Oreochromis niloticus: one gene and its partner. The protein of the gene in region 2 binds, or shares a complex with, the protein of the main gene of each other region. Links are inferred from orthologs where the notes say so. Each region holds a gene or a part of one and is shown on either strand. Other genes may lie near its edges.

Region 1 (7,499 bases), on a different chromosome or scaffold from region 2:
ACTTCTGACTTTGACTGGCGCCCAATCCAGAAAACACTTTCCCTCTACAGATTCTCCTGCAGGTAGTTGACCCATGGTACAAGACCATTTTGGGCTTGTTTTAGTTGAGCTCACAAGAACTTATGGCCCAGCCACCTGGTGCACACAAACAAGCTCCAGAGTGGGTTATCAACTCTTGTCATCATAATACATTAAGTTAATCTTAATTACTGTATTACCATCACTTATTTATCAGTTGCAGTAGAAAGTGTCTTTAAAAAAATGTCAATTTAATTGTAATTGGTGGGTGAAAGTATTAGGAGGTATATATGTGCACACATACAATTTGTATTTTATAGTTTGTCATCATCTGCATAAAAAAGCATAAAGTATAAAAATGCTGAAGAAGTATAAAAACAAACCTACCTAAGAGCGATGAGACAACAACCAGTGATCCTTTATTTTGCTCAAGGGAGGGCAAAGCTTTCCAGGCCATCTGAATATAGCTGAAGAAATTGACCTTCACAAACAAACATTCATGAATCAGCATAGTCTCTCCATTTCCTGTTTTGAATGACCATCAAAATGCTCTGTTACCTTCATCAGCCATTTGGTGTGATCCACATCTCCCTTCCACATGCTGAAGGGGCTAGGCCCAATGTGATTGAGGACCAGGTAATCCAAACCTCCCAGCTTCTCCAGAGCATAATCCACCACTTTGTCAGGGTCAGACTCATTCGCCATGTCTGCTGCTATATAAAAAGCTTTCTGGGCTCCTAAGCTCAGACACTTTTCTACTACCTACAGGCCAAAATCATTAAAAATGCACTTGGTTAGTTTTATGAAAGAACTAAAGAATGTCTCTATTCATGACTGGCACAAAACAACAGAAGTAAATGGCAATCTATGAGCAGAATTTCAACCAATAACCTGTTATTACGTAAACTGACCTGCTGTAAGACTTTCTCCCTCCTTGCTGTGATAACAATTTGGGCTCCAAAGCGGGCGTAATGATACGCCATTTGTTCACCAATACCTGTACTGGCCCCAGTCACCAGTACCCTAGCCCCTTTGAGAGAATCTGAAACAAAGTTTTACCGTATTCAACATGGAATGGAATTGTTTTAATACATGAAAGGTTTATAGAAACAATAAAAATATGTGTTATTTCTATTAGTCAACAATAAATAGAGTAAATGACCACAGTAACTACTGCATACATTGTTAATGTGTCTAAGCATGCAGAAAAGGTTTTTAAGTGAACTTGATGACAATGAAATAGTTTAGTTTATCTAGAATCATTCTTTAGGCAGATATATACCCTAAAAAGATAAGCTAATCTTAGTCCTCCATTAGAGCTGGGCGATATAAGATTTTTTCATATCACGATATGTTTTTTCATTTCAGGCGATAACGATATATATCACAATATAAGCCAAATAACTATATTTGTAAGATTTAAATGTGCCGTTGCTCACAAGTAAAATGTGAAATAATCACCAGCTTGTTTTGATTTAAATATTTATTTCCCATAATAAGTTCAACAGGGTAGATGTACTTAAGGAACATGAGACTTCAGTTTCAGATAAATAAAGGCAAATATTACAAACTACACAAAAGGCAGCCGCTAAAGCGTTTAAGTTTCAAAATAGAACAAACAAAACAGACTACTAAATTGTCAGTTCCACTTAGAAACAAAATATTAATTCTAAAAATAAATCTTAGTTTGTTTTACAGACGAACAGACAAAATTTACTAACTTTTGTCAATATCAAATAAACTGAGAACTAAAAGGAAATTCTCAATCTCTCCTTGTTGTATAGCTTAGCTTTTCAAACAGTTTTAACAGTTACTTTAGTCTGACAAAAGCCGAATGACGAATTAGCGCTTTCAGTCAGAGATTGAGCATGCACCGCTTTATTGTATTTCCAGACTTGCTTTCGGCACAATTTACAGTGCGTGCTACTCTGTTTTTTGTCAGACTTGAAATAGCCGAAATACCTTCACACTACGGAACTTCTGTGGCCCTTCCGTTCGACAATCTCTCCGGTATTGGAACCATCATCTGTTTTTTCTTCGGTAACCTTCGCTCACGCTCTCGGTTGATTTTTCTCTAGTCAGCAAACTCATTTCCTTCATTACCTGGGCAGCCCGGCTGCAAAAACAAATATACATGTGAGCCTTGGCACTTGTGCTGTACGTATCAAGTCACGTGACGTGACGCTGCAGCTGTGATTGGTTCGGCTCTGCGCTACTTAATTTGGATTGGCTGTTCTTTTTTTTTTTTTTAAGAGGACAAGAGAGATGAGGCCTATCGCAATAGTTTATTTTTTCTATCGAGAAAAAGTTATTTCGCAATACATATCGTTATCGTTCTATCGCCCAGCTTTATCCTCCATATATTGCTTCAGGTCAAAGGGCATTTGAAACTTTTCCATCTTGAGAAATTGCAAAATGCATACTCTTCATTTGGACTAGTAAAATGCTTGGATATTGTGTTTATTTATTTATTTCACCAGAATTTCCATGCTGTATTTTGTTTTTGAAGGTCCCATATCACTCGTTTGTTGCTTTAATTCTTTGCCTGGTGCTATGAACATTTAAATATCCTGCAGGTTTAAAAATTTTCACTCCCCATGCTGGAGAATGGAGCCATATGTCAGTACCCTTTTCCTCTCAAAGGTTTAGCTAAATGTGCAATCAACTGCATGCTCTCCCTCTCTCTCTTATTCCACTTCTTATTCCCATGAAGGGTTAGGGTTCATGAAGCAGCCATTCAAACTGCATTTTATTACTAACCAAAGCAAACACAAGGCATCTGAAACAAATCGTCCTGCGCTGTCGTACATTTGTGAAATATAGGCATTTAAAAAATGTGGTATTTCATAAGGTTACAGTGTTGCAGAGTAGAGCACATGGGATATGCAAGTATACATAACACTAGTCCACTGACATGGACCGCATAATTTCATTGCTTGTGGAAAATTGACTCTACAGTGTGTTCTCAAAATGTGAATAAATGCAGGATTCTCTCTTTGGTAAGGCCTTGGTCACAAGCGGAGAGCAGAATATCATCAATTACTCGCTCACTTTGTGCTGTTTCTACTAATTTTCTTTAACAAATCATTAAATTGTTACTATTACCTTTCCAAGTTGGCAGTAATACCCACCCACACCATAAAACTGCCTTTTATTTGTTAACAATGTGGCATGTATTAGATCACAAACCTTTTTTTTTCTAATATAAATTGTTGGCTTAATTTTTTCAGATTTTATGTATCCTTTTTTTAATAGCAAAGTCTGACCTGGCATTTTTACTCAGAATTCTGATATCTGCTGTTGTTTTTGTTGTTTTCCGGGCCTTCTGTACATTGTTTTTTTCAAGAATGTAACTGGTAATTTAAACATTCCTGTGGTTTCTGGGTTTATAGCTCATGTTTTTGCTTTTTCAGCCTTTGATTCCATCATTAATTCTTCGAAACCCATATTGAACATGCAAATTGATTTCTTGGACTCAACTTCAGACCTTTTATCTCCTTAATCTGGCTACGCCTGGCCATAAAGCCTCATATAAGTTACTGGCCCGGGTGCTTTTGAGCTTCAAAAATTAAATCAAATATTAAAAAACATCAGTTTCGGGGTTGACTGCACATGTGATAGATGTCTATTAAAAACAGACTTCATATGTATAACAAACAATGACTATATGACTATAATAATGAGGTGTTACCAGATACTAAGTTATAACTACGACATAACCGAGTAGGCTAGCTAGGATTCCTGCACATGAGTCTTCCCTTTTTCATGTGAAACCTTCATTTTTAAGTTAAGTAAAAAAGTGTGACTCTATTTAGCTGTATTTACCTAATACATTGCAAATGCATACCACGCATATGTTTGGACCACTGTAGGCCCAACACCTATCACATTATTGTCTGCTGGACAAACCTGCATGCCTGCTGCAAGTTTGCAACTAAAAACAAGCAAGTACTTTCTCACAATGACAAAGAACAGAGTTTACCGGCATCAAATCTGGGTGAAGTCCATTTGGCAGCCAGGAAAGCAACACATATACTAGCTAAAAGAACTTTTGTGACAGCGCCCATTATGACAATTTGGTAGCAGCTGAGCGAAAATGCTAAGCTTTAGAAGTTTCTGCCAACTTTCACAATCCCAGTTTGAGAAAACAAAGTGCATTTTATGCAACCCACTATTTCTCCCCTCCTTCCACTTTGTAAGGGGCGGGGGTTGGTCAGACTGGCCTGCCCTTTTTCATGGACACAAATCATTTTTTTTGTTACTTTAATGCTTTTAAAAAATCTATATATTTTTTTAATTTACCAAAGCCCCAAAATCTTTAATTTATTTGCCTATAAATTTATAGTTTAAAAAATCAAGGCTGACGAATCTGCGCCTCCGAAATTACATCCGCCCTGACTTTTGAAACAGCAACTTTATTTACACAACACTGGTGCACACGGATCATCAAGCAGGGTTGTCCTTCAGTGAAGCTAACCAGCTAGCCTGATCTACGGCTCATTGTCGGAGTTCTCGCAATAACAGCTTCTTAAAGGAGAATAGACCGCGCTGAACGATGGCGACGAGGATTTGGCCTGTTATGAAGTTAGTATTTTTATTTCAACTCCCGCGGTTTCGTATACTATCACTTGTCTAAATGCTCTTATTGATAATTAAGCTAACTTAGGCTAAGCTAGCTGTCAGTCATACCAGGTCATTTTCAGTTGTTTTCGTTTTAGCTCCAATATTAAGACTTAAAATATGCTTTTCTTTATGGAGTTTAACGTTGGGCTGATATACTAACTTTCTGCAATAACGTGAGTTAATGTGGGCAGTTGTAAATTTCCCAACTATTAACTGATAACTTAGCATCAAAGAATAATTTGTTGTTTACTTTGATAATAACTACGTGTGTCTGTAGTTTCAGTTTGCCCTGTTGGGAAATTGGGGTATTTCAGATTAACTGCATTACTGCATCTGTTCTTTCATTTCCAGACTGGCCACCAAGGTGACCATTGCAGGAGGAGCTGTCTATGTTGCCTATGACTCTGGTCTCTTGGGGAACAGTGAACAGGGCTCAGAGGCTCTGCAGAAGGCCAAAGCAGTAATCCCACCCGCCATGGAGGAATGGATGAAGTACTTTGGTGTGGAGGTACAAGATGCACGTCATAAACAACTAGGTCTTCCTGGATCAGTGCCACTAGGCCTAATACAACATAAAGTAAAATGGTTTTAAAAAGTCATTGCATTAAATAGATCAGTGCTGCAGACAGCAAATTTGATGACTCATACCATAAATGTGTAGAAATTTCTTTTTGCTTTCTAGCCTTTCTCTTATGAGATCAGAAACGCTCTAATGAATACATAGTTACAGTACAATCATGACATCATAAACCTTTGTGAGGCATGTACTTTGATTCGTGGTAATGTATGCTGCAGACCTAACTAGCTCTGGAGCAGGTTGTGGTCTGGGTTAGAGCTCATCAGGTTGAAAATATAGTCAATAGCAATTCTAACAATTCTTCAGATTCTCCTGTGTCTTAAGTCTGGTAACTGAGACTCACCAGATTTAAGACTAAGACTTTATTAAAGTAAATATCTTTTCCAGCATTACTGACCAAAGTGCTTAAAGTGCTCATGCTCATACAGCACTTTTAATACTACTGGACTGTCCGTTTCTTCCCACACACACTCACACCACTCCTTTAGCTTCAACACTGCTGTTGCTATATGCCTGTATTATTTAATCTTTTCAAATTTTTCAGATATCATAGTTGTAGCTTTGTAAGATCCACCCATGTTTCTGACTGGTCGACTGCTGCCAACATCTTGCTGAATACACTCACAGCTAGATTTTTTTAACTCTGGCTTGGCTTAGTCGATAAACACCTTTGTAATTCTGCTCATCATGGTTCTCAGTGTTATTTTAATTGAAGTCAGATAATGGAAAGATATCCAGGAAATGCTGAAATTGCTTCATAGTACAGGTCCTAGTTCTTGCTGACAAATCAGTTCAAGTGATTAAAAAAAACAAACAAACAAAACAAAGAAAAGAAGCAAGAGTATTTATCCATTTCTTACTTATGATTTTATTCACGAACTCCAACAAGCAAGTTTTCACTTGAAACAATGTACAAATGTGTCTCCTCCTCATGATTTTATTTTAAAACCTGATTTGTTTATTTATGCATTTATTTTTTTATTACTGTTTTGCACTGGACAGAATAGTAGTTGTATTGTCCAGTTATAATAAACACTAATGCAAACTAATGCACCTTATCCCTCTTGTCAGGCTCAGCTTCCAACCATACCTAAGATTGAGTTCTCTCCTGTGGACGCGTGGAATTCTGGTAAGAATTCAATTATTTGTTCCTTTTTTAAAAAAGCAAGGGTAAAAATTTACTGTGGTCACAAGTTTTGCACAGACTTTCTGTTGTGTATTTCACTTGTTACATGCAGTAATAGTTTTAAAATTGTTTGGAGGCAGTAGTTTGTTTTAAAATAATTTTGGTATTGGTATTACTTTTGGTCTAGACCCTATATTGACCCTGATTTTTCAGTATCTAAAACCCAAACTTCTCTTTTTTCTTTTGTTGCAGGCGTACGGTGGACGATTTCAAATCTCTCTGAGGCCCCGACAAAAGCCACTGAATACACAAGTCAGGGGCTGCAGTACTTGAAGGACCTCACAAAGTGAACATGAACTCTCTGGGCAGCCTCACATTATCAGTCCTTTTGACTTTTGCACTTGACATTACTTCTTCAAATGTTGAACCCTGCCATAAGAATGAAGCAACACACAACGTCAAAGAAAACTGCTTGATTAAAAGATTAAAAGCAAGGAGTGTACTCTGCTGAATGGGTACTGTGGTTTTCTAACTGATAGTGGCCTTTGGTGGGAGATGTACATAATGGGAAGAAAATTTTATTTTTAAGAAGGCAATCTTTCATTTTGTGTATACCTCAAAATTGTGTATACCAAATAGTTGCTATCAGCACTGTCCAGTAGAGAGTGTTATTCTGCCCTCACCTTGCCCAAAAAATGTTAAGAATATCTGTATGTGTGTGTATATATATATATATATATATATGCAATTTCACTATTTGTGAGCAATATATCAATCTTAAAAGATTTTGTCTCATCTTTAGTTTGATCTATCAAGTCATATAACATAAAGTGCTCGGTCGACAAAAAGACCATACAAATGTGCAAAAATCTTTATTAATCATGACAATAATAATGACACAGTTTACTGCTGATTCTGCTACAACTTGAAAAGAGGGGGAGATGACTGAAAGCGTGAGGAAGAGCACACGCAGCCATTTATGATCGGTTGACTCCACTGTACACGATGCAGACACACTCCACAGCACCGCGAGCGGTGATGTTTAGTGTCATCCTTTTCTTTTATTTAAATGTAAGAAAACATTACCCATTCTGCCACGTGTTGTCACTTCTTCACATCCAAATAAAGTTTCTAAACCTTGAGGCACTGATCAGA
Region 2 (7,311 bases):
ACAGAAATAGAAATAAAGCTGAAAAAGCACACGATAAAAGGCAGATGGTAACATGAAGCCACGAGTTATAATGACAGTGGGTGCCACACTTACCCTCTATGCTCTGTGCAGGCTTACTGGGGACGGGGCTGGAGTCTTTGACTGGACCCTCGGCTCCCTCCTTCTTCGCCGACTTCTTCACTTGTTTTTCTATCATAGAGGGCGGCTGGGCCAACTCCACCTTAACAGCAACCATTTAAATCAAAGCATACATTATTACAGTGTGGTTGTAGAAATATTTTTACTCTTTCTATACAAATATTTATATTGTATTGTATGGAAGTTTATTTGCTGATATCTTCAATTCTGAGTCAAATTTTAACAGACACACACTGGAAAGGTGGAGGTATGGAGGTGGAGGTATGGAGGTGGAGGTATGGGGGCTTCAACGCAGTCTGATCAGCCATTTTAACATACAGTAAACCATCAGAGAACAGATAGTTGCTCACAAATGGAGAGTCGGTAAAAGAAAAAAATGTTAGATTGTTCTTCCACTACCTGATGGTGAAATACAAACAAACTTTGTGTCCTGTAACTATAATTAGGATGAGCTGGGGACAGCACCGTACCCGTTTCTTTATGGGGAGGCCAGGATCTTGGGCAGGGGGTCCCAAAGCCAAACCCAGCAGCCAGTCTGAGTATGGGACGTTCTTCTCAACCGCTGCTCTGAACTTGTGGTCCCATTTGGCATAGAGTATGGTCCCTCCAATGCCACCACTTACTGTCAACAAGCCAGCAACAACCACTTTGGAAGCACTACTGGAATGAAAAAGGACAAGCAGACATGAATGAATGCCACAGGACAGTCTCGCTAACGGCCTTTGAGACGGGACGCAGCATTCTGTGTGTATCCTAGTTCAGCTGACTTTATGACACAACTTTAGGCCCAAATAGTGACCTCAGGAGGAAAACAATGTTGTAGAAATGACACACTGCTACGGATACCGCTAAAGATCTTCTCTTGAGGATGAGAGATCCACGTTTTGAAATGACGTGGAGCCAGAGCGCAGGGACCAGCGGGACACAGATTTGGTGGTCAGCACAGCACATGTCACATCTATGTGAGAAGCCCTTAAGAAGACAGTTGAATACTGTACTGTGTGTGTTGGTGTGTTACCTGCTCTCTCCTGCTGTGTAGTGCCGACACTGCTGCAGACTGGTAAGAGGGATTCTCCTGTAGTTCTTCTGGAAAGTGGTGAGGAAAGCGTGACAGTGAAAAGAAATCCATGTCAGACAGATCCAGAACGGACACACATTTATAGCAAGGACACCTTAGAGCAACAAATTCCAGTGCAAGCAACAAACTACCCAATGTTTTCCTTATCATTCCTTATTATCCTTGGATAAAAGGGTTGGGGAATTAGGTGCAGAGATGCGGTTCAAAAGGTAAAAACAGACTTTGTGCAACTCTAACAAGCCTGAAAATCAGTACTTTGTCTGAACACCTTTACTCTTCAAAACAGCCTGAACACTCTGAGCCATGTTTTCTTGTAATTACATTAAATAGTTTTCAGAAACAGAGGTTTCATCCTCTGTCAAGACGATGCCACACTGCTTGGATGGACACGGGTTAGTTTCAGAACAGCTTCATCAATTACATTTTTCAGTGGGAAGGTGGCAGTCAAGAAACAGACAGGGGTGTGGACTGAAACAGCGCAGAGCGCAGTCCTAGGAACAGCTAAGATACTGCGCAGGACCATCAAGCTATCAGGCCTCTGGCAGAGGAGCCGAGCTTGAAGGATAGACGCCTGCGGTGAGGGGGGGGGGTGTCGAGACTTTTGCGCAGTACTATACTGACAGGTCGGTCGTCAACATGTCGATGACAACCAGGTAATCAGCATTTGATGATTTCAGTTTTAAATTTCATGATATTCTTGTGACACACGAGCTTGCCCATTTAACTATAGCATAAGAAAAAAATCCAGTAAGTAATAAGCTCAGCGCGGTTTTTCATTTGCTGTTAAATCATAAAAATACATAAATTATCGTGATGAAATCAAAACAAAAATAAGCACAGAACTGTTGACTTACCATTTAAAACAGATCAGCAAATGAAGTACAAAGCATGATTTCTGAGCAGTAAACTGAACTCTTATTTTGTAAATACAGATTCAGGTGCATGGCAAACAAATCCAAGGTGAGTCCGGCAGAAACGAATATGTTACTGTGCGTTTAGTCAGGTGAAAAGAGCCGAGGTTCCCTCGTAATAAAACATCTGTGCAACAGTGTGACGCTGCAGACCAGAGATGTCAAACTTATTCCAGTCCACTTTAACAGGTGACAGCCACCTTTCTGTCACTGTACAGAAGTCTAGCTGCACATTCAATCCCAGAAATAGAACAAAGTTTTCGAGAATCCACATCATGCGTTAGTATTTGGGGATTTTACGAAGACAACCTGCAGCGTTTATTTATTCATTATAAAGTCTACGTGAAAACGCGTTTTTAAATGCTAGTGCCGCTAGTAGCATTTTAAAATACTGCTCCGGTTAGCTGTTATCAAACCTGTGGCCGATAAAAGGTCAAACAGAATGAACAGACAAGTTTTGGTTTTTGCCATGATGACCTCTCCGCTCAAACTTAGCCAAACTCGTTAGCTTGGTTATGGTTAAAACGCCATTATCCATCTGTCACCGGAAGAAAACCGGCTAACATTAGCATGCTGCGCTGATCTCTTTGACAGCTTCCACAACCAACTGCATTGCTTCAAATACAGCGCTCGACAGCACCGAAGAGTTAACAGCCCGAATTAGTCTACGACAAAATTGACTGTGGCACCTTGAGGCAGGCTCTGGGTCACTGAATGACAACACGCTAACGTTAGCCCGCGGCTGGGGAGCAGACAGAAGGCTTACCCGGGCGGTAGCATTAGCCCCTCTCAGACACGCTCTCAGCATGGTCTTCTCCTACTTTGGTTTCTGAGTTCGTAAATAAATCGACCTGCACAGAAACAGATTATTTCTTTGCTGCTCTTCTTCGTCTTTTCGCGCACCCTTCTTCTCCTCAGTACTTTGCGTGGATTAAACGTTTGCGTGCACAACAGCGCCCCCTTATGATGTTGCTAAATTACATTCGCGTCATTCTTCCATCTGACGTAAGTCAGACAGATGATCCTTATTCTTCCCAGCTCTCCTAAACTAAGCTAAACAGATTCTCACCAGTGACGGGCAGTTCTGGTTATCTATACTCTCAAGCACACAACACTGGTTTATGTGTGAGTTCATACAGTATTCAACACATTTTCCATTAATTACTACATCAGCTGTGTGAAGTGTGTCAGAGAGAAACTCTGGTTTCAAAGTCACTGTTTAAATCTGTGGCATGCTGTCCAACGGTGGACCAAGTTTTCAGCAGTTTTTAGCCAAAAATCACAAAAAAAGAAGAAATATTGATTTTTCTTGTTTGTTTTATTTGTTTTTTTTATTTCAAGTTCTATTAAAGATACAGCAGTAAGAAACAATTACATTTGTATTAAAACAAAACAAAACAGAACAGAACAGAAAACAAAAAGCCACAGCCCAATATTTCTCAAGGATAACTCAAAACAACACACATCATTGTCTCCGATTTTCCCACGTCCTTTAAACTATTAAGACGACCCCTCCGAGTTCAGACAGTTTCTATGCATCTGGAATCTTCTCAGGTAGAATATGAGAGATGTAAGCTCACATTTGCACGAAACTAGATGCACACTCCAACAGGCCTCTCACTGGTACAGCAAGTGGGGGTTTTTACATACCAAATTCTGAAACATGCTTGATTAAAAATGTAAAATCTTGCCATAAAATACTCTGAACAGATAAACTACAACAAATGGCCCAAACTGTGGATGGAGAAACATATGGTGAAAACAAAACTCAATATTAAAGTATAATCAATGACTACCAGCCAAAGACACAGCAGAGTGATGCTGTGTCCACACAGACTCTTAGCTGACAGCTGGAGCAGTTTTTCTGAGTGGACTGTGTGAAGTCGATGTCGGGGGGAAGACTCAACCATTCAATAACAAGCTATGACATATTAGGCTCTGCTGTCCTTTGTACTTTGACCGGAGTACCGCAGTCTTCATCCTGAGCAACACAACACAAACAACATCATTTAATACAGTGTTTGTAAGGGTGGCTTTCTCATCTGTTGATTAAACTTTGCACAAAAAGTAAGGAGACCTGTGTTTCTTCCCATTGGACAGCCTGGTTGTTTCCCCTTAAATGGGCCACATTTGTAAAGAAAAAATCCATTCGTGGGTTAAACAGCAGAGTTGAGTAAAGAGAAAGCTGAGCAAACACGTTTCCTTTCTTTTTGTGCCAAGTTTATAAGCAATCCCACCATCATCATCTTTATTTTCTTAAAAACTGATGGATCATCTAAACAATGGACCAAATAAATATTTAAACCAAGGTTCCAGAAAGATTTAGTCAAAACCTCTTAAACAAACTCTACAATCGTTACTTGTCCGTCAGTCGTCAGCACGTGTGTGGGCCTCAACATTTCAGCAGCACCTAAATGACTTCCACTCACCTCCACTGACAGGCTGTGTATCGGCAGCGAGGTCTGGCTGTTCTGGGAGTCAGTAATGGTTGGGAAATCTAGTTCAATGTCCATTACATCATCAAGGTTGAGCTCCTCACTGGTGGGACAAGGAGAAATCATACATGAGGACGGCTTTCAGCTGACTGACGACGTGCAGAATGTGTACGAGTGTCTTACACGACATCGAGGGTCTTGTCCTGGCCTTCCTCTGCAGGGGGGTCCCAGGCATGTAGTTTGACCTTCCACAGTTTGATCTGCTGGTCCCAGGAGCGACGACTGTACTTCCTGAACTTATTGGGAGTTTTTGGATGAACGCCTGGCTGACGCATGTGTCTGAAAACAAGAAACGCGGGGATTAACGTTGACCAGTGTATTACACACACAAGCAGTGGACAGGCTTTACACTGGATGTTCCACAGCATGCGTTTCTGTTGACCTACTTAGGAACTTCTTTGATGTAGCGGTCGTAGGCCAGCGTGTTCTTGCCATAGTTGATCTGTTTCTGTCGTCGTAGTAACACAGCTTCATCGGTTTCCAAGTTATCTCCCTCTCTGGAGTCACAGCTGAAGCACAGACACATTTAGTCCACATTCACATGCACACAATACAAAAATAGAGGCACAACTAACATTCATCACGAAAAGAGCCCGACTTCCTTCATAATGATTTTATTCTAAAATGATTGTAAACACAAAGTTGTTGAAAAATGAAAAGGTTATTGTCATGTTAAACAAACCTGTGTTACTGTTTAATGGACAAAACTACATTAGTAATGAGTTCAAAGCCCATGACATGATATAATACAATGTAACTACGTAACAGTAACTATGTAACAGTAGTCTGGAGTGTGTTGAGATGTCAGTAAGACTAGAAAAGTTCTGACAAACCAAAACTGGATCAGTTCAGGATTTGGGGAAACAGCAGTTAAAGCCATATTTGACACGTCGTCGTGTTTCAGCCTCGCTGTCACAAGGACAGAAAACCCTCATCGTCTCATAGCAGATATGATATTTATCACATCATATTTTGATGCTGAGCACTTTACTTTTGTTACCATATAACTGAGCTCCATTAGTGCAATCTGTTTTACCTTACTCGCCACTTTGTTCAGTGATACTGCGTTGATTTTATTTCATGTTTCCATTATTTTGGGGATGAATACGTTTTGTCTCGTCTTATTTAATGTTAATAATTGCACACTTGTATAGCTGCAGGTGGATGTGTGGTTTGAGAAGTGAGTGTTCCATCAGTTCATGAATATTCTGAGTTGAAAGGTCTGTGAGAGAATGAGATACCTTCCAGAAGAGCCAGACGAGGCCCTTCTCTCCCTCTGGGTGAATTCTGCCCCCAGTATCCTCCTCCTGTAACTGAACACAGTGCAAACAGTGAGTCTGCAATCCAAAACAGGAAGCCAGTCTCTGCTTTCAGGTGCTTAAAAAGACAACTGAAATAATGTAGAAACTGTTTAATTACCGCTGCATGTCTCTGTGCACATCCCTCCTCATCTCATCGTCCTCCACCTGGCTGCCCCAGTCAGCCTGTTGACCACAGCGGGACACTGGACCTGTGCTCTCTGGAGTAGTAAAGCTAGGAGGACAATACCACAGGTTACACACACACAGGGATGTTACTGCTACAGTTCCTGCAGATGTTGTGGCCACATGTTGGTAATGGAGTCAGTAAGCTGTTTTTTTAAAGTGGTTCATGAGCAGAGACTGGCTGGCTTCACTCAGCAATAATGTAGTTTGATTTTTTTAAAACACTACCATTCAAACTAAAATCATTCTAATAATTTACCAAATATTACTTTACAACCACTGTGTTATTTATTTTAATTTAAAACAAACAAACAAACTTGTTTTTCTTCTCGAGCCTACACTGGAGTTTGGATGTGAACTACACAGACCAATGAAATTCTCACGCTGTTTACATTTGACAAAGCACCTTTGAACAGGGCCATTAAAGCTGTGTGGGTCTGAAACACTAAAACTGAAACATTTCCCCAACAAATGCCAAAAATCCACAAAGCTTCAGCCGCCTCATGGCTTTTCAGTTATGAGTTCCCTGCATTAATATACATTTATCACTTTCCACATTAACTGAGCTTACTCTCACCTAGCATGTCTGCGATCAGGGTGTTTGTAGCTGGAGTCGGCGTGTCCGTTCCTTCTTTTATCAATATCATCTGCCTCGCTGTTGCTCCGCAGGCTCCCATTGACGCCCCTCTTCCTGCAGTGGGACCACCGAGATGGGCCAAAGCTACACAAGAAGACACAAAAAAAACGTGTAGATTTAAACATGCCAATTCATTCTTGTTTTGATATCAGATTTCTGCAAACAATTCTCAAAAACATTCTCTTCTGTGTCAAATTAGGGAAAAAAAATCATGGCTGTTAAAAATGCAAAACCAGCAAATATGTGCAAGAACTGCAAACACACGGTGGGACGCACGGTCCCACACAGGAAAACACTCATGACGGTTTCACGTCTCCGTATTCCACAATGGCAAAGCTGCACTAACTGCTTCAAAATGCTCCGGGGATTTCTTTTGAACCTTCTTAGACAGATTAAAGTTTAGAGAAGGTGAATTTTATTTAATAATAAATGATTAGTTGAGTACAGTGGGTAAAACTGGAGCCATACATTTCCTTTAATAGACAATTTCTCCCGCCAACTTCTTCCGATTGTTCGGACCATCATCCATCTGTGACTCTTGTTTTTCCTGGAGGAGGGCACTTAGGAC

The links. Proteins that work in one complex are often made in the same cells at the same time.
Region 1: immt (region 2) and micos13 share a complex: the UniProt entries of both Homo sapiens proteins name them as parts of the mitochondrial contact site and cristae organizing system (MICOS) complex. The link is inferred for Oreochromis niloticus from reciprocal best matches to the Homo sapiens genes IMMT and MICOS13.

What each region holds. Positions count from the first base shown.
Region 1 is NC_031986.2:33,823,009-33,830,507, reverse strand, and holds the start of micos13 (MICOS complex subunit MIC13), read left to right. Parts: upstream 1-4,428; 5' UTR 4,429-4,573; coding exon 4,574-4,602; intron 4,603-4,992; coding exon 4,993-5,149; intron 5,150-6,289; coding exon 6,290-6,347; intron 6,348-6,596; coding exon 6,597-6,694; 3' UTR 6,695-7,499. Other genes in the region: hydroxysteroid 11-beta-dehydrogenase 1-like protein, read right to left, coding at 406-499, 577-780, 930-1,060, 4,001-4,085. UniProt on the Homo sapiens protein: Component of the MICOS complex, a large protein complex of the mitochondrial inner membrane that plays crucial roles in the maintenance of crista junctions, inner membrane architecture, and formation of contact sites to the outer membrane.
Region 2 is NC_031966.2:2,141,334-2,148,644, forward strand, and holds the start of immt (MICOS complex subunit MIC60), read right to left. Parts: upstream 3,070-7,311; 5' UTR 2,936-3,069; coding exon 2,894-2,935; intron 1,225-2,893; coding exon 1,157-1,224; intron 799-1,156; coding exon 609-798; intron 221-608; coding exon 94-220; intron 1-93. Other genes in the region: slbp (histone RNA hairpin-binding protein), read right to left, coding at 4,049-4,108, 4,557-4,665, 4,746-4,901, 5,009-5,131, 5,864-5,935, 6,042-6,155, 6,684-6,827. UniProt on the Homo sapiens protein: Component of the MICOS complex, a large protein complex of the mitochondrial inner membrane that plays crucial roles in the maintenance of crista junctions, inner membrane architecture, and formation of contact sites to the outer membrane.